Elephas maximus indicus: one gene and its partner. The protein of the gene in region 2 interacts with the protein of the main gene of each other region in a biochemical or structural test. Links are inferred from orthologs where the notes say so. Each region holds a gene or a part of one and is shown on either strand. Other genes may lie near its edges.

Region 1 (10,247 bases), on a different chromosome or scaffold from region 2:
TATGTTTGACCAAAATGATTGGTAATGGTAGTAATGGTACCATCCAGTTCTGGTCTCATGGCAACAGGGATAGTTATTCATGGAGGCAATTAGCCACACATTCTACTTCTTCCTCTCATTCTTGACTCTCCTTCTCCTGGTGTTGCTCCAGGTGTACAGAAACTAATTGTTGTACCTTGGGTGGCCACTTGCAAGCTTTTAAGACCCCAGGCACTACGCAATAAACTAGGGGATAGAACAGAAGCACTAAACACAATATTAGACCAATTAACTGGGATGTCCCATGAAACCATGACCCTAAACCTCCAAACCATGAGGTGTTTGGCTGTACATAGGCAGCCTCAGCAGCAACTCTTTTTGTTGTTGTTGTAAATATATCACACAACTTTGGCCAATTCAAGTTTTTATAGGTGTACAATCTATTGACTACAATTACATTAATCAGCTGTGCAACCCTATCCTTAATCAATACTATCTTTCCATCATGGTAAGCCAAAACTCAGTGCTCCATAAGTAATAACGGTCCCCTTTTCCCCTCTCTCCTGCCCCTGGTAACCACTAAGAAACTTTGGTCTCTATATATTTGACTGCTCTTATCTTTTTATATAATTGAGGTCACCTGATATTTGTCCTTCTGTGATTGACTTATTTCACTCAGCATAATGTCTTCAAGCTCCAACCATATTGTAGCATGTATCAAGACTTCATTTCTCTCACTGGCTGAGTCATATTTCAATGTATGTATATACCACATTTTTTTTATCCATTCATCCACTGATGGCCTTTTAGATTGTTTCAACTTTTGGCTATTGTGAATAATGCTGCAATGAACATTGGTGTACAATGTCTGTTCGTGTTGCTGTTTTCAAGTCCCTTGGATATTTTTCTAGCAGTGGAATTGCTAGGTAATACGATAGTTCTATTTTTAGTTTTTTGAGGAACTGCCACACAGTTTTCCACAATGGCTGTACCATTTTGGATTCCCACCAGCAATGGACAAGAATTTCAATTTCCCCATATTCTTGCCGACATTTGTTATTTTCTGTTTTTTTTAATTTTAGCCATCTTAATGAGAATGAAATGGTATCTCATTGTGGTTTGATTTTGATGTTGAGCATCTTTTCATGTGCTTGGTGGCTGTTATGGATTACGTTGTATCCCCCCAAAATGTGATGTAAATGACCTATGGTATAATCCCATTTGGAATTTTTTTTGTTATGTTAATGAGACAGTGTAGTGTGTTTCTTAAGTCAATCTCTTTTGAGATATAAAAGTGATTAAACAAGCAAGGGAGGGGGTAGGAATAAGGGAATATAGATGCCACACCACAGGATCGCCAAGGAACCAAGAAATAGAAGCTGAAAGGACAAAGACATTTCCCCAGAATCAACAGAGAGAGAAAGCCTTCCCCTAGAGGCGGCACTCTAAATTTGAACTTCTAGTCTCCTAAACTGCTAGAAGATAAATTTCTGTTCGTTAAAGCCACCCACTTGTGGTATTTCTGTTATAGCAGCACTAGATAACTAAGACAGTGGCCATTTCAATGTCCTTTGGTAAAATGTCTATTCAATTCCTTTGCCTATTTTTTTATTGGGTTATTTTTCTTTTTGTTGTTCAGTTGTCCAGGCTTTTAAAATTACTATAGTATACGGTAAAACCTGTGAAAGCCAGAACCAATGTAAGGTGGAAACCTGTCACAGAAGGAAAACTCGAATATTTTCCATTAAAATGAGGGACAGGATAGTGGCAAGACCGCACTCTGTTAAGGGTGGAAAACTTGCACGACCAGGAAAAGGAAGGCGGTCCCACTGAGTTCTGGCTCTCACAGGCTTTCCTGTACTATTGTAAAGATGGCATGGCGACGGTGTTTGACCTCCTCTAACTTCACAAGTCAGGAAAGGTATGCTTCAGGGCTGTATCCATTCACCATACCTATTCAATCTGTATGCTGAGCAAATAACTCGAGAAGCTGGACTGTATGAAGAATGGGGCATCAGGATTGGAGGAAGACTCATTAACAAAATGCAGATGACACAACCTTGCTTGCTGAAAGCAAAGAGGACTTGAAGCACTTACTAATGAAGATCAAAGACCACAGCCTTCAGTATGGATTGCACCTCAACATGAAGAAAACAAAAATCCTCACAACTGGACAAATGAGCAACATCATGATAAACGGAGAAAAGATTGAAGTTGTCAAGGATTTCATTTTACTTGGATCCACAATCAACACCCATGGTAGCTGTAGTCAAGAAACCAAACGATGCATTGCATTGGGTAAATCTGCTGCAAAGGACCTCTTCACAGTGTTGAAAAGCAAAGATGTCACCTTGAAGACTAAGGTACGCCTGACCCAAGCCATAGTATTTTCAATCACATCATGTGTATGTGAAAGCTGGATAATGAATAAGGAAGACCGAAGAACTGACACCTTTGAATTGTGGTGTCGGCGAAGAATACTGAATATACCATGGACTGCCAACGAACAAATCTGTTTTGGAAGAAGTACAACCAGAATGCTACTTAGAAGCAAGGATGGTAAGACTGCGCCTTACAGACTTTGGACATATTGTCAGGAAGGATCAGTCCCTGGAGAAGGACATCATGCTTTGCAAAATACAGGGTCAGCAGAGAAGAGGAAGACCCTCAACTAGGTGGATTGACACAGCGGCTGCAACAATGAGCTCAAGCATAACAACGATTCTAAGGATGGCGCAGGACCGGGCAGTATCTCGTTCTGTCGTGCACAGGGTCGCTATGAGTCAGAATCGACTCGACAGCACCTAATAACAACTTCACTAGAGGGAAGGAGGATCAAGATCAACAGCCCGAGGCTAATTCCTTTGAGGGAGAGGTCAGACATGCCTCCTCTCTCTGCCATCTTTACCAATTCCGACACCAACTGCCCCTCCCATGGCATTCTCCACTTCTCTGCTGAGTTCAATAATTTATTGCAACAGCCACACAGAACACACAGACCATACTCACAGTTATGGGGCTTATAGGGAAGTAACAGGTTACAACTCAGGTTCAGGAATGCTCAGAATGCAGTTCTCCCATCAGGACAGCCTCTTCTCAGCCATGCCCGCAGGCACGCTTCTTTCTCTCTGGCCCCTCAGCCTCTGCTAAGGCAAGTGCTAAACAAAACTCTTTTAGCTCTGTTGATAAGTGCTCCAAGGCACCCCACTCCGCCAGTAAGCCTCAGCCTGAAGGTGCGCAGCTTTTTTGCTCCATGGGCCAGGAGGCCCACTGTGCCATCTCCTGCTGCTCTTTCCTGCTGCCGTTCCTCTGACACCGCTTCTCACCATCGTCCGTGTTATAGCCGTGTCTTTCTCAGTCTCCTGGTTTCAGGAGCTTCTCAGTGTAGGGATACTGGGTCCAAAGGATGCTCACCACTCCTGGCTCTTCTTTCCTGTTGGTGGTTAGATCCTCTCCTCCCACCTCTGGGATGGCTTGTTTTTAGCCTAGCAGGATGGCAAAACTGACCAGTCCTCTATGGTGGGCCACAATGTCCTTATTTGCATAACTTACCAAGTAAATTATCAGACGATAGTGAAAAACCAAAAACCCACTGCGGTCGAGTCAATTCTGACTCATAGCGACCCTATAGGACAGAGTAGAACTGCCTGATAGAGTTTCCAAGGAGTGCCTGGAGGATTCAAACTGCCAACCTCTTGGTTAGCAGCTGTGGCACTTAACCACTACACTACCAGGGTTTCCTGAGACCATAATGAGACAGGCCATATAAAATGATCCATCCCACTGCAAGTATGTTTTGAAATCAGAAAGTGTAAGTCCTCATATTTTATTCTTCTTCAAGGTTGCTTTAGCTGTTTGAGATCCTCTGCCCTTCCATATAAATTTGAGAACTGGCTTTCCATTTCTGCAAAGAAGGCTGTTGGAATTTTGATGAGGATTGCATTGAATTTATAGATTGCTTTGGGTAATACTGACGTCTTAACTATATTAAACCTTCTGGTGGTGCAGTGGTCAGGAGCTTTGGCTGATAACCGAAAAGGTTGGTAGTTTGAATTCACCAGCCACTTCTTGGAAATCTTATGGGGAAGGTCTACTCTGTCTTATAGGGTTACTATGAGTTAGAATCAACTCGTGGTGATGGGTTTGTTTTTTTGTTTTGTTTTAATCCATGAACATGGAATGTCTTTTTATTTATTTAGGTCTTCTTTAATTTATTTTAGCAATGTTTTATAATTTTTTGCATAGAAGTCTTTCACCTTTCAGGTTAAGTTTATTCCTAGGTACTTATTCTTATTGTAAATGGTAATGTTTCCTTAATTTCCTTTTCAGCTTGCTCATTGTTGCTGTATAGAAACCTCACTGATTTTTGTGTTTTGACTCTGTGTCTCTCATAAGGACACTTGTAATTGGATTTAGGACCTACTTGGATAACTCAGGGTAATCTCATTTTGAGATCCTTAATTACATCTACAAAGTCTCTTTATCCAAATAAAGTCACATTCACAGGTTACAGGATGTGAACATATCTTTTTGGGGCTCGCCCAGGGAGAAATCTCTAAATAGTTAGAGACGAGACCATTCAACTCACAACAGGAGTCAAGAATGATTCCAAGGTTTTCAGACTGAGTAACAGGAAAGAATGGCATTTGCATGAGCCGAGATAGTAAAGACTATGACAAGAGTATGTTGTTGAAGATAAAGTTCTAAGTGGCTCTTAATTGTGTTTGTATGAGGTTGGGGCTTGGAAGGGTGGGGTGCATTCTAAGAGTTCTGCAGGGTCCATCTTTGCCTCGCTTTTAACACTAAATTCAGAGAAACTTGAGTTCTTTTTCAATTTTCTTGGGCTATCTCCTCTGTGTTTTGGAAATGTCTAACTCATCTTCATGTTTCTATCATCCAGCTACATAATGGGTGCAGTTATTTGCAGTCCATTAGGAAGATCACACACATTGTCATGAGACCGTGGCTCACAATCCTGGCTGTGCCACTTGCTGTGTGGGCTAGGTAAAGTGACTTTCTAAGTTCTTCAGTTCTTCTCAGTTCTCTATTTGCAAAATGGTGGTAATAACAGCCTTCCTGTAAGATTAAAATAATGACTCTTGGAGTCTACCCAACAGTCTAGTACGGTGCACAGTAAATACAGACCTTCTCCACTCCTCTATTAGTTTATAAAATAACCCCTGCAAGAGCTTGGTTGCTAACCAAAAGGTCGCAGTTTGAATCCACCAGCTGCTCCTTGGAAGCCCTATGGGCCAGTCCTACTCTATCCTATAGGGTCGCTATGAGTTGGAATCGACTGGACAGCAACGGGTTTTGCCTTGTCTCTCACAAAAAGGTGCCCTGGTGGCACAGCGGTTAAAGCATTCAACTGCTAACCAATAGGTTGGTGGTTCGAAACCACCAGCAACTCTGTGGGAGAAAGATGTGGCTGCCTGCTTACGCAGTGATTTAGTCTTGGAAGCCCTATGGGGTCACTATGAGTTGGAATCTACTCCACGGCAGTGGGTGGGTGTTTCTCACTAAGGAGCCCTGGGTGGCACAGTGGTTAAGCACTGGGCTGCTAACTCAAAGATCTGCTAACTGAAAAGTTGGCGATTTGAACCAGGGATTCGAACTGGTTTGTTCTGGTTCAAACCCCTGTTGAGAATTGGAATTTGTAACACGTTCCTAGGCCATCCTAATGATGCTGTTTAGGGACCAATGCTGAGAACCACCAGTAGTGCAGGTTCTCGAATTTTATTATACATAAAAATCACCTGGAGATTGTGTTAGACAGTAGATTCTGATTCTAGATATCTGGGGTGGACCTGCAAATTCTCAGCAGGGGTCTGAACCAGAAGGAACCAGTTGGAAGACCTGGTTTGAACCTACCAGCTGCTCCTTGGGAGAAAAATGTGGCAATCAGGTTCCATAAAGATTACTGCCTTGGAAACCCTATAGGGCAGTCCTGCTGTGTCCTTTAGGGCCGCGATAAGTCCGAATAGACTCCACCACAATGGGATTTAGTTGTGTCTCACGACAGAGATTTCTCCCTGGGCAAATCCATTCTTAGGACAAGCTCTGTAGATCCTGAATTGCTTAGCGTACATGGTAGGACTACTTGGTTGCCTGATCAGTCCTCTTGGAGACAGACACTATGGCAGAGGCAAGCTTACCTCATCCTCTCTCTCCCGGTATTCGTTATTCAGGGAAGACAGGAGGCGGCTGAGGAATCGATTTGTGGGTCCAACATGGCGCCGTCCTGGTCCCTGACCGAGTCTCAAAGATGGCGACGTCCTATGGGGGCAGACATGTTCGGACTACAAGATCCAGGCCCAGGCCAGAGGCGGCCGGAACCTGACGCAAGGTTGAGGCGGCGTCCCACCTCCGCACTCCTCGGCGTCGATTGTCTTGTGACAGGTACTTCCGCTCGGGGCGGCGGCGGTGGCGGAAGTGGGAGCGGGGCCGAAGTCTTGGCCATAAAGCCCGAGGCGGCGGCAGCGGTGGTGTTGGAGGCTTGAAAAGGGCGGAGGGGTCCGCTGGAACCGGCATTTGGACTTCTTCTCTGCCCCCGTACATTTTCGCCTCTCCTCGGCAAGAGCTCTCTCAACGCGCCCGGCCCGGAGCCTCCAGCGGAGCGGCCGCGGTAAGCAGCCGGCCCTGCCTGGCCGGTGGCCTTGTCCCATCCCCCTCCTCAGCCCCTCGGTACCCAGGGCCTCGCATCGATCCCGTCTCGGGGAAGGCTCCGCGCTCAGCCCGATCCTCGCGGGGAAGCCGCGCGTTGTTCAGCCCCAGGAGCAGGCCCGGACCGCGCCCGGTCGGGAAGAGGTCAGAGGTTGCCGGGTGTGACCTCTGGCCAGGTTGCCGGCGCTGAGACTGCCGTCACGGACGCCTTGTTTACTAGTGGTGTCAAGACCGGAGACCCACTGGGCACGGGGCCTGTGCGCCCGCGGCGGGATGCTCTAGCCGCTTGAGTTCCTTGCAGCGGCGAGCGGAAGGGTGTCGGAGCCGGCCCTCCAGCAGCCGTGTGGAGGGGACGGTGGTCCAGGCGCCCCCCAGCCGATCGCGCCTAGTGCTCAGCTACTTTGGCATCTGTGTCTTCGGTTGAACAGCCTGATTCGGCCTTGGGGGAGGGTCCCCGATGGCAGCTGAGTTAAGGCAGTGAGTCAGGTCACGTGCGCGGGGCTCACCTCGGAGGCTTGTGTACATGTGAGACGCTTCTGGCGCTGGGAGATTTTTGTCGTAAGCATGTTATGGTAAATCTTGAACGAAGTTTTCAGACTTATTGGGGGAAAGATGATGAATGGCTGTAAAGCTATGTGTGTTTAGTTCAGACTTGATACATACCGGTTGCCATCGACTCGATTCCGACTCATAGCGACCCTATCGGACAGAGTAGAACTGCCCCGTACGGTTTCCAAGAAGCGCCTGGTGGAATCGAACTGCCGACCTCTTGGTTAGCAGCTGTAGCGCTTAACCACTACACCGCCAGGGTTTCCACTTGATACATAATGGTTCTTAAAATGGGAATATAGAGAACAATAATAGGAAACATTTGAGCGCTTACTGTATGCTTGCTGGGCACCGTGCCAAGACCTTTTACACAGGTTGTTTAATTTTCAGAACAGCCTTTTGAAGTACGATTATCGTGCCCACTTGTGGATAGGGAAATCGAGGAACACAGAAGTTAAGTCACTTGTCCAAGATCACATAGCTAATAAGTTATGGAGCTGAGATTCAAACCCAAGGATTCAGACTCTGGAGTACTGCACTAGATGTCTAGGTTGCACTGCTTTCAGGTGCTCCTGAAGCTTGTGATTTCTCTTGTGCTACCTGGTATCTTCCTCTCTCTCCTTTTCTTTCTAATAATGTCATTTTAAAGCCTCCTGAAGTGGCATTTGTTCTATTTAAAGCCAAAAGTCATTCCATTTGTAGTTGTGACCTTTAATGGATATTATTGTAGTGTAGTGTCAGTATATTAGGAGCTCTTGAATTCTGACAAAGTGCTTAATCGGGGTTTGAAAAATTTTGTTACCTGAATTTTTTGTCAATTGATTAGGCTTGGCAAGCCTGCCATGTGAACCTTTCTTACCACCTTTAGCAGAGATGCGGGTGTACAGCCAGCTGGTTCTTCCCTGTTGAAAATACTCTTTGGATTCTGAAAGAACAGGCTCTTGTCTCTTCCTTGTGACTTAAGCAGCTGATTAGCCACATGACTTCTCATCCATGGATTAATAAAGTCTCCTGTTAGTCTGTTTCCCTCTTCAAACTTTGGAAGGTTTATTTAGGTTTGAGTGAGTTGTGAATATTTCTAATACCTCCTGAGAATATTACCCAAGCTAAAGCTTGGAACTCACAACCCCGTCGTGTTCCAGTTTATCTCGTTTTACCTTGCTACTCAGCCTGATATATTTGAGTAATAAGTACTGTGCCCTTAAATAGCGTTTGGGCACTTTTTCATTCATTCATTGAATGTTTTGAGTATCTGTCATGATTCTGATCCTTAAGGAATTTTCAGATGGTGAGTGATCATTGCTAGGAATTCGGTTGTGGACAAGTTGTCCATAGAACTTGAGGCTTTTGGAAAGAAGAGTTATTTCTCATCTCGGCAGGTGAATTTGTAGTAATCCAAACAGTCTAGTGTTTTGGCTAAATTGAATTTTGTTAATTTTAACAACAGCATTCATATGGCTTGCTCTTTAAGAGAATGTAGAAGACAGTATTACAGTTTCTAATTGATCACGTCTTTTGTAACCTTCAGCACTCTAAATTTGTTTCTCCTTTTGCTCTAGTGGCGTTTTTTGTTCACTTGAGGGAATCCGTGTCACTGCCACCCCATTGCACTGCAAGTGAGAGTTGTTGCAGTGTTCATTGAGCAGAGGTGCATTTGGCATGCTAGATTTTTTTCTTCAGCTGACAGAGAAAGTTGAATGTGGTTCCTGCCCATCACAGTACCAGTAACATCCTAGATAAAACACAGTGCCATGCTACCTCCAATAACTGTTTTGTCTCTCCATCTATAAGAGGAGATTTGGGTTTTGCGCATGTAGAACTGCAGTGTAGGAGAAACCAAACCAAAAACCAAACCCAGTGCCGTCGAGTCGATCCCGAGTCATAGAGACCTTATAGGACAGAGTAGAACTGCCCTGTAGAGTTTCCAAGGGGTGCCTGGCGGATTTGAACTGCTGACCCTTGGGTTAGCAGCTGTAGCACTTAACCACTACGCCACCAGGGTTTCCAGTGTAGGAGAAGACACTCTAAAAATGGTATTATTATTCTGTCCAAGTAATCGTGATATTATTATTCTGACAAAGTAATGGTGAGCAACAGCTTGGAGATAGTTCTCCTCCCCCCCACCTGTGGCTAAGCCTCCAAACCCCATAATCAGAGAGCATTGCATTGTACCAAAGTGTGGCTTTGAATCACTTTTCTGACCCCACCCTCAAGTGAAGAAAAAAAAAAAAGTTTTGATTATTTGATTAACTTTTAATAAGTCTTCAAAGAGATCTGCACTAATAACATTTTTGCACTTATATCTGGCATTGGCCTTTCCACACAGAGGTGTATCAAACCCAGACTACGTGGGCGTGGCAGTAGTCTTATGCGCTTTCCCTCTCTGGGATTTGGCATAAATATTTTGCCATTATTTCTAAGACAAATTGTCCAGCTCTCCATCCATGTACTTCAGCAGATTTGACTGAGATAGATTTGGCTAGATGTTGGACTGTAGGCTGTGGGCAAGGTTCTTCAGAGAAGTTAAGGAAGTGCCTTCCTGAATAAGGCTAAACAGTGGTTCCCCTTGGCACTGATGTCGTTCTCTGAAGGGGACTGGCACTCGAGAAATGAAGTACCGCTCCTCTTGCCCCCCAATTATGCAGTTACTGACTTTCTGCAGACTTTTATCCCCCATATAAGGTTGCCATTGTATTCTCAGGGACTGATTCTTACGTGTTATCAAACACTTATCCATTAATGCCATCTAATAGATCTCTATGCTTATCTGTCTGCAGTTTGCTGCAGAAACATTTTGGAATGTGTTGATCTCTTCAGTTATTTGCTCTCACATCTTCTGTCTGTGCTCCGCTTTTCCTTCTCACATATAGCGTTAAAGACAGAAAAATAGCTTGCATTTATGTTTTAAAACTTCCTAATGGTGGTTGGGGTCAGTGTGATTGGTGAATCAAAAGTGATGTGTGGGTGAAATTAGAACAGGTGTTGTAGCCGTGTCTCTGACTAGTTTCAATTTTAGTACTGGAGCCTGTGATTTCAAAAATGAATTTAAGAATAGC
Region 2 (10,544 bases):
AGAATTTCAACTATGCCCCCAAATAAGACAAACAGTAAATCTGTTCAAAACCTGCAGGCAAAACAAATGATCAATAATGCAAGCTCGGGAGTAAAAAAGATAAAGAAGAAAACCTATAAACCACCAGATGAGAAACCTGATAGGATTACTGGTAATAGACACACAAACGTCTTTCCTATCAAGTAGCCAATGAGAAGAGGAAGAAGATAAAATTGACACCCCTTTCATGGAAATCATGAGCCTTCTCTGGGAAGTAAATCAGGCAATAACCAAAAACAAACAAACAAACCCATTGCTGTCGAGATGATTCTGACTCAGCGACCCTACAGGAGAGCAGAGCTGCCTCATAGGGTTTCCAAGTAGGCGGCTGGTAGATTTGAACTGCCGAACTTTTGGTTAGCAGCTGAGCTCTTAACCACTGCACCACCAGGGCTCCTTCTAGACCGTAGGGGCATGGATATTTGGAAATACAGGCAGAGGAAATACATCTTGTCTGAACCACATACAAGCATCCTGAAAGGGGATTAAATAAGATGAATACAGGAGAAATCACTTGGCATAGGGTCTGACACAAATGAGTATTTAGTAAATATCAGTTTCCATGATCCCTCCTACAGCATTTATATCTACCAAGGTTTATAGAAGTGAGGTTACTCCACCACCATCACAATAAACACTATAGTCAATGAGCTGCTGGCCAAGGTTAACTACCTTAATGTTTCAATTCTCCACCAACATCAAGGAATGGAGCTATATGACCTATGTGACCCTTCCTGATAAATGAAGCTTATCATTTTCAAAAAAAAAAAAAAAGTTTTTTTAAGCATCCATTTTGATAGAAATTTTTTCAAATATATTCAACACTGACTTCTTAAAAAGACTATACAGAACAGAATCCAGCCTTTTCCACAACTAGATGGTGCCTGGCTACCACCACCAACTGCCCTGACAGTGATCACAACAGAGGGTCCTGGACAGGGCAAGAGATAAATGTAGAATGAAATTCTAACTCACACAAAAAAGACCAGACTTACTGGTCTGACTGAGAGGAGAAACCCCGAGAGTATGGCCCCCAGACCCCCTTATAACTCAGTACTAAAGTTACTCCTGAGGTTCACGCTTCAGTCAAAGATTAGACAGGCCCATAAAACAAAATGAGACTAAATGGGCACACCAACCTAGGGCAAAGGACTAGAAGACAGGAGGGGACAGGAAAGCTGGTAAAGGGGAACCCAAGGTCCAGAAGGGAGAGTGCTGACATGTCGTGTGGTTGGCAATCAATGTCACAAAACAATGAGTATTAATTGTTTAATGAGAAATTAATTTACTCTGAAAACTTTCATCTGAAGCACAATTTTAATAAAATCAGCCTTTTCTTGATGACACAGGGTCATAATTATGCACACACAATGGTAAATTTTCGAGCTGGTAGAACCCTACCTTAGAAATCCCCTAATTCAAATCTCCCACTTTATGTATGAGCTGAAATCCCAAGAGGTTATGCAATTTTCCCAAGGTTACACAGGGGGAAGGTCAAGCAATTACCATTAAACCATGTTGCCACATCTATTATTATACTATACTGAGCACCATCTAGCAAGGCAGTCAAGATTTAGGGCCGTAACCCTTGTAAGCTTCCCCATGTTTGTTATTTTTTATCCCATCTCTTTACCCATATCTTTAGTATTGTTGTTGTTGCTGTATGCCATTGAGTCGATTCTAGCTCATAGCAACCTTATAATCCTTAGTAGTAAAACTCTTAAATCAACTAGGATCTATGTGTTCACCCTCTGCAAGAAAAAAATTAAGCTAGCTTACTCCACAGCCCATTTTAGGGGAAGAACTCCAGAAGATAAAGTGACTGATGTGTTTTAAAAAGGAAAACGATGCAGACTAGATCTCTAAATGGCCTGCAGAAAGCAAGAAGGACGTGATGAAAAGCTCACATAGGCTTAAGAACAGCTTTGGGGGTGTGACTGTCAGAAGTCCAAACAATTCCTGAGTATTGACAATACAGTAACCTTCACAAGGGCAGGGACTAGGTTCTCAATAAACATGGTTTGAATATCCTGAGAAATGAGTGGTTGTCACTAGCCTAAATAATCCCAGGCTGTTATGGATTGAATAGTGTCCCCAAAAAATATATGTTGTGCATCATTACCTCTATGCCTATGGTTAGTCTTGCAAAATTCTAACCAGACTAACCGCAGGCATAGAGGTTATGATGTACAACACATATTTTTGGGGGGGTGGGGGGGACAATTCAATCCATAACAGCCTGGGATTATTTAGTGTAGTGAATTTTGCAAGATGAATGACTTCTTCATTGAAAATACATTTTTCAGCAACAGAAAGGCCAGCTATACACACGGACCTTGCCAGATGGAATACACAGGAATCAAATCAACTACATCTGTGGAAAGAGACTATGGAGAAGCTCAATATCATCAGTCAGAACAAGGCCAGGGGTGGACTGCAGAACAGGCCATCAACTGCTCATATGCGAGTTCAAGTTGAAGCTGAAGAAAATTAGAGCAAGTCTATGAGAGCCAAAATACAACCTTGAGTATATCCCACCTGAATTTAGAGATCATCTCAAGATTAGATTTGATACATTGGATGCTAATGGCCGAAGACCAGACTACTTGTGGGAGGACATTATACATGAAGAAAGCAAAAGGTCACTAAAAAGACAGGAAAGAAAGAAAAGACCAAAATGGATGGATTCCTAGACAACCAAAAAGAAAGGCAAGTGTGGTAATAACAGCTATTCTAAAACGGATTTTTTTTCTCAGTTTTAGAAGAGAATGGAGGGAATAAATGAATATTCAATTGGCTCCTTCCAGCTTTCATCCAACGTCTGCTCACAGCTGGGTTATCTGCACCTGCAGTTGTTTTCAAGTTGGGAATAACATGTCCCTGTTGTTCTGAGAACAATTACCTAGGTACAACGAGTATAAAAGGCTTTCTGGTTAGACAACACATTAAAAGCTACTAGTTTACCCTCCCTACACTCACAAATATGAAAAATCAGGCTCAGAGAGATTAAAGTGCTTGAACCTCCCTCAAAGTCACACAGCAAGGTAAAAGCCAAGCAAATTCTAGAACCAAGTTTTTCCAATGACCTCTACTAATCTGGGTTAACTCTGAGGATCAGAACCACTGATTCTCCTTCTGCTATGACATGGGCCTTTGGAAATTTACCAGCTGCGTGATCATGAGCAAATTATAGCCTTTCTAATCCTCCTTTTCCTCTTCTGTAAAATGTAGAGAATAATACCTACTCTAACAGGGTTGCTGTCAGAATTACATAAGGTTTGTCAAGTGCTTAGCTGGCACATCGACTAGCAAATAATAATCATTCACACAAAAAAAAGTAGCTATAATTTTTACTCCCACCCTAAAAACATGGCTGCTCCTACAGTTTGAAAAGACAACGAACGGAATTCATCAACACAATGGGCCCAATACCCCAGAGCCTACTACATTCCGCAGACGGGAGTAAACCCCACCCAACAACCTCTTTCACCCCATCTAAAACCCACCCTCTAACCAGTTAAGAAAAACAAAATGTCAATTGATTCCACACGTCCGCTGCCACACGTTGTATGTTGAATTTGCCAACTAGAAATTGCAGGGGGGTTTCTGGCTCCACCCAAAACATGGAGAACAAATGAATGATTAGCAAGGGGACAATAAGGTCACAGACCTGAACTGGAACTCACAAAAGCTTGTTCTCAGCATATCTGGTTGTGCGTGGATAGGTGGATGATAGAAAGCAGAATGGTTTTTTTCAGTACCGTAAAGCAGGAATAATGGCTGCCTCAACAAAATACAATTTCCTAGGCTGCTCAACACAATAGAGAAAAAAAAATCCGTTTCCCTGCCCTAATAAATTAATACGTACATGGGCAACAACTGAGCATCTTTCTTGCAAAACTGAGGATTAAGCTGTAACCGAGCAATTTTTAACTGCACGACACCCTATAATCATATAAAGATACGAAAAAAGTCCTATGAAACGACGAAACAAAAGGAATGAGGAATATCACGTTGAACTCAACAAGGAGTGAATCGTAATGTCATGTCAAAGGCGTATGCATGGATAAAATCCCGACCCTCCGTCCTCATGACACTGCAAACCCACCTCCCTTTAAGGAAATTACAGGAATCAGCCGCAGCAACCAACCTCAACAATCGGCATCGACCAGATATACCCCTACTCAGATGTCGCTAAGCACCGCGGGTCCAAGCCCCTCCCTGGAGCTTGCCAAGTCCCGCGCTGACTCCAGAATACCTCACTTCCTTCCCGTCCGCCCTCCCAAACTCGACCCCCGGCGTTTCTCGCTAACTCTCGTCACTGACAAAGAAGGCAGGAATGAGACAGGCATCCCACATTTAGTCCGTGGAGTACTAGGGCCACACATACCCGTCCCTATTACGATCACATCAAATTCCGAAGGGAGATTATTCGCCATCTTTACAGGAAACGTGTCATGTGACTACTGCTTGTGGAAATGAAATCAAGTTAAGCGTTCCCACGGTGGAAGGCGGAAGGGAAAACTCTGCATTCTGGGTATTGTAGTTCTTGAGTGAAGGCCCAGGTAGACGGCTGCAGCGTTATATTTGCGATTTTTACGCAAATGTTGCAAGCTCGATTTACTTTCCAGGCTTTATGAAGCAGTGCATTTAGGCTGGAGGCTTGGGGTAGGAAAGAGATGCAGATTTGTATTCCGATGGCTAGGATGAATGTGAGAAGACCTGGGTACTCCTTAACTAAGATAAAGAAAGAAGTGTTCGGAGACCCAAAAGGCAGAATGAAGTTGCGAGGGAATTGTTCTGTGAACAAGAGAGGTTATCATTCCAGCCTGGAAAACCGTTTCCCCAGTGTGTCTGTGCTTTCGTTTTGGCCCTCGTGGCATAATTTTTCACACCGATGTTGTTAGCTGGGCTGAGTCTCCTACTGCCAATCTTTTTGGTCTCTTATGTCTCCCCATTGAAACCTATTTAAAAAAAAATCGTTGTGAAGTCTATTGCCACGCATTGTGACACTATAGGACAGAGTAGAACTGTCCCATAGTGTTTCCAAGGCTGCAGTCTTTACCGAAGCACATTGCCATATCTTTCTCCCGCGCCCAGCTAGTGTGTCCGACAGCTGCTAATCTTTCCGTTAGCAGCCCAGCGAAGCGCTTAACCACTGCAGCACCAAGGGCTCGTTCCCCAATAAGCCTCCCCACCACACCCCCCCCCATAAACCCTTCGCCTTAGTTTCACCAGGAGCCCTGGTGGCACAGTGGTTAAAGGACTTAGCTGCAAACCGGAAAGTCTGAGGTTCCATCCGCTAGCTGCTCTGCAGGAGAAAGATGTGGCAGTCTGTTTCCACAAAGACTGCAGCCTTGGAAACTCTATTGGGCAGTTCCACTCTGTCCTGTAGGGTCGCTGTGAATCAAAATCCACTCCACGGTAAAAGGTTTTGGTTTAGTTTCACCAGAATGAAAACCTCACCGCGTGGTATTTATTCTAGTTAGGCCGAACAGCCACCCTGGCGATATATATTTGCAAAATTAGCCTAGCTTTACATGAAGGTAAAATTATACGAAAGCATAGTAGATGTTTGATAAGCGTTTGTTGAATTCGAATCTGAGTTTCTATATGTGTAAGATGAGTCCTTATATGATTCTCCTAATAAGCTACTACAGAAATGGTCACGGTGAAATGGCCTTTACATTAAAGTCATCGTATTCGATTAGGGTTATGAGTTGGAATCGACTCGACGGCAATGGGTTTGAGTTTTTTGTTTGTTTATGAGTGGTCTAGGAGCACTGGTGGTACAGTGGTTAAGCACTGGACTGCTACCACCAGCCGCTCTGCAGAAGAAAGGTGTGGCATTCAGCTTCCCTAAAGATTAAAAAATCCTATGGAGCAGTTCTACTCTTTTCCTATAAGGTCACTATGTGTTGGACTCAACTCGATGGCAGTGGGGTTTTTTGTTTTGTTTTGTTTTGTAGGTGGTCTATGACAAGCAGCTAACATAGCTTTCATAAGTATTTTCAAGCCCTCTCCACCCCATTTTTTAAAATGCTTTGCTGTCTGTCTGACGATACCAAAGCAAAAAAGTGAGGCTTGTGCAGGGGAGTGAGAGAATATTTTTGACCCCAGAAATTACTTAACTATTTTACTGAATAATTCAAAGAGAGGGTGCAGTGGTGAACCTGTCCTTCTCTTACACCACCTGTCCTCTTAGTTGCTTGTAGTTTGCCAGACACACTGTCATCTTTTCCATCTTCCTGAACCACCCCACACTGTCCTTTCAAAATGGAATGATCTTCCCATTCTTTAGCTAATACTTATCCTCAAGAATCAGCTCAGCTTCCACTTCCTCTTCCTTTCATTCCCTACCCATGTTGAGCTAAGGTTCTCCAATGGTGCTACCACTGTGTCATAACCTGCCATATTCACTGAAATTATTTACATTTATGTCAGTCCCTACGTAGTACACATATCCCCATGCACACACGCAAAATACACACCCAGATATACAGCAAGCTAAATTATAAGCTCCTGTATGACAGGGAGGTTCCTGGGTGGCTCAAGCAGTTTGCTATCAGCTGCTAAGCTAAAGGATGGAAGTTAGAACCCACCCAGCAGCACTGTGGAAGAAAGGCCTGGCAATCTGCTTCCATAAAGATTAAAAACCAAACCCATGCCATCCAGCCGATTCTAACTTATGGAGACACTATTAAAAAAAAAAAAACACCATTGCCATCGAGTCGATTTCGACTCACAGCGACCCTATAGGATAGAGTAGAACTGCCCCATAGTGTTTCCAAGGCTGTAATCTTTACGGAAGCAGATTGCCACATCTTTCTCCTGTAGAGCAGCTAGTGGGTTTGAACCAACGACCTTTGGGTTGGCAACCAAATGCTTTAACTGCTGCACCACCAGGGCTCCTTTCCATAAAGATTACAGCCAAGAAAACCCTGTGGAGCAGTTCTACTCTATAACGCACGGGGCCACCATGAGTCGGAATCAACTTGAAGGCGATGGCTTTGGGTTTTTTTTGTTTGTTTGTTTGTTTTTCCGGTATGACAGGGACTGTGTCTTATTTATCTTGTTACCCCTTGCATCCAACCTAAGCCTGGTGTATAGGAGGAATTCAATAAATATTTGCTGAACTGAACTTAGTTCTGACTCCCCTAATAGATGGTAAGCCTTATGAGAACAGGGACTAAGCCTTCTTCACTTTTGTATCTGCCTATCACTATCATGTGTGTCCTGCATGTCGTAGACCCTAAATACATGTTTGTTAATCTTGCTAGAACATGAAAAATCTTTAAAAATGTATTTTGCTGATTTTTTGGCTGTATTTATGTTGCATTTTACCCTGGTCATTGGCAATATGTAGTACATGTTCCATTAACTTATTTTCTTGTTCATCTTGTTGTATCGAACAATTCTTTTATGATATGGTCCTCTGATGAATATATCATGTAAAAGAGATTCCTCTGAGAAGTGAAATGTAAAATATTGTTCAGTAAATCACTCTGCTATTCATCTTGGTATGAAAAGAAAGTTTTGAGTATTCTCAGAAGTGAAATAGATCTTATCTCTGAGACTCTTACTATCAACAGTGGAAATGGAAATTAATATATTTCCCAGAGTAAACACAGGAAACTTTCTGCAATCTTCTCTAACAGTGAGAATCCATAGCATGAATGGTTAAAAATAGTAATAATGATAAATAAAAATATTTCTGTCTTACTTTGGAGATATAAGTGCATACATGTATACATATGTGTATGTATTTCTAACTTTCTAGGAAGTCAGTAGTTTTCTAACAAACACAATTACATTGTGAAGACATAACTCATTAATTCATTTATTCCTCAACTATTCATTGAGCACCTACTACATGCAAGGCACTCTTTTAGATGCTGGGGTTATAGCAATGAACAAAGCAAACAAAAATCTCCCGTCTTCATGAAGCTTACATTTAGTAAGGTAAAACAAAATAAACCTATAATTACTTTAGTGTTAATTTTCCAATCTACCCAGCCCCAATTTGAAACCCCCCTTTTTTCCCTGGGAATAAACAGTATGTCCCTCAGAGAGAGAAAATTACCAGCTTCTATTTAGCCTTCCTTCTAAAGTTATTATATGACTCACACCTTCCCTGGACATTGAAAAGATCATCACTTAAAAAAAATTTAAAGCCCCTGCATGGAGAAAATGTTCAAAATACCTTTTTCTTTCAAATGCATGTGTTGTTGTAGATATTATGTGAAGTATAGATAGACACAGGAGGTGATAATGTCAGTAAAAGAGCAGAAAGCAAAGCAGCTGAATTGCTGTCTATTCTATTATTCTAAGAAAATCTTTTGAGAGCTTAAATGTTTTATTTGGATAAGTTGCAGTACAATGAAATGATGGCTACCTAATAATTGACTATCCTGTGAAATCACTGTGCCACTAATTATGTATTTAATTGTTTCCTGAGTTGAAAAGCCATGATTCCTGGAACATCTACACTGTATTCAAGAAGTTTGCTGAACTGTAGGATCTGACGTATTATCTTTTTAAAAACCAGTAATTTAATGGTCTGTAGGCCTTTTTTTTTCTTTCTATGCCTGGCCTGTCCTTTGAGTTCCAGATACACATATCCAAGCCCTTACTGAACATCTCTGCTGAACGCGTCCAATACTGAACTCCTTAACATTCCAATCCTTAACATTCCAATCCTTAACATTCCAAACCTTAACATTCCAAACCTTCTCTTTGCCCATGTTCCATATCTTAGAAATGGGATGACCTTCTACCCAGTTACTCAAGTCAAAAGCCTAACAGTCATCCTTGATACATCACTCTCTTTCACCCTTAAACCAATTCATCAACAATTCTTGCCAGATTTATCTCAAAAAAATATACTATATGCTACAATATTGATGAAGCTTGAAGACTTTAAACTGAGTGAAATAAATCAATCACAAAAGGACAAATATTGTATGACCTTACTTACACAAAAAGATAAGAAAAGGCAAATGTATAGAGGCCAAAGTTTATTAGTGGTTACCAGGGGCAGAAGGGAGTGGAATAGGGAGGGTTATGCTTATAGAGTACTGAGTTTCAGTTTATGGGGATGGAAACATTGCATTGATTATCAGGACACAGTTATTTTCTCCTTTGAATTTCTTGTTGATACTATATTTTCACTAATGGAAGACATGCTGAATAAAGGATCAATTCCGGACCTTTGTTATGATTTATGGATTTTGATACCCATTATCTGGGATAACATATGTCTCAGCGGACCCTGAGTATTGTAAATCCTGCCGATGAGTCAATGATAAAATCTTTTTTTTTTTTTTATTTCTTGAAATTTTGCAAAACAGGAGGTAAAACATGAGGGCACCTGGCAATGACTGCACATATATTTCATTCTAGTTACCTACTTCTTATCCTTTTTATGATTTTTCATGAACCTTTTCAAAACATGATACAATGCATTCTTCCTTACTGCAAAAGCAATACTTATAGCCCAAATAAATAAAGCCAAGAGATTTTTTTATCTCAGGAAAATTACCACTGCAATGCATTTTTCATTACTGCAAAAGCACTGCTGACAAGCCAAATAAATAAAACTAAAGGAAATTGAATCTCAGAAAAATTGCTACTACTATGTATCCTTCAGAAACCCTGGTGGCGTAGTGCTACGGCTGCTAACCAAAATGTCACCAGTTTGAATCCACCAGGCGCTCCTTGGAAACTCTATGGGGAGATTCTGCTTTGTCCTATAGGGTCACTATGACTTGGAATTGACTCGATGGCAACGGGTATGTATCCTTCATTATAACAAAAGCAGTACTAACAGCTAAGAAGCAGAAACAACTACGGTGGAATGCTGCAGAACTGCTCACAGTGGTGTATTCCACCTGCTACACGTGGAAGCAATGATTAGGCCCTGTTATGAATTGAATTGTGTCCCCCATAAATATGTGTCAACTTGGCTAGGCCTTGATTCCCAGTATTGTGTGATTGTCCACCATTTTGAAATCTGATGTGATTTTCCTATGTGTCATAAATCCTACCTCTATGATGTCAATGAGGCACTATTTAATCTACAAGATTATGTTGTGTTTTGATCTCTCAGGCTATGAGGATTTCATAATAAATTTTAAATCACAGAACATATTTAAGAAGCGAGCAGAGAGACATGGGGACCACATACCACCAAGAAAGTAGTGCCAGGAGCAGAGCATGTCCCACAGGTCCCTGCACGGAGAAGCTTCTAGACTGAGAGAAGACAGATGACAAGGACCTTTCCCCCAGAGCCAACAGAGAGAGAAGGCCTTCCCCTGGAGCTGGCACCCTGAATTCAGATTTCTAACCTCCTAGACTGTGAGAGAATAAATTTCTCTTTGTTAAAGCCATCCATTTGTGGTATTTCTGTTACAGCAACACTAGATAACCAAGATAGGCCTTAAGATAGAATTTGGAGTAAGAATAACTTATAGGAGTTCCAGCCTCCTGAAAAGTACCACTGCAAT

The links.
Region 1: the proteins of CHM (region 2) and RAB7A are reported together in a solved structure, tested with the Homo sapiens proteins (2 studies listed by BioGRID, with this or other methods). The link is inferred for Elephas maximus indicus from reciprocal best matches to the Homo sapiens genes CHM and RAB7A.

The regions. Positions count from the first base shown.
Region 1 is NC_064838.1:41,758,587-41,768,833, reverse strand, and holds the start of RAB7A (ras-related protein Rab-7a), read left to right. Parts: upstream 1-6,411; 5' UTR 6,412-6,604; intron 6,605-10,247.
Region 2 is NC_064846.1:78,960,369-78,970,912, reverse strand, and holds the start of CHM (rab proteins geranylgeranyltransferase component A 1), read right to left. Parts: upstream 4,500-10,544; 5' UTR 4,479-4,499; coding exon 4,430-4,478; intron 1-4,429. UniProt on the Homo sapiens protein: Substrate-binding subunit of the Rab geranylgeranyltransferase (GGTase) complex.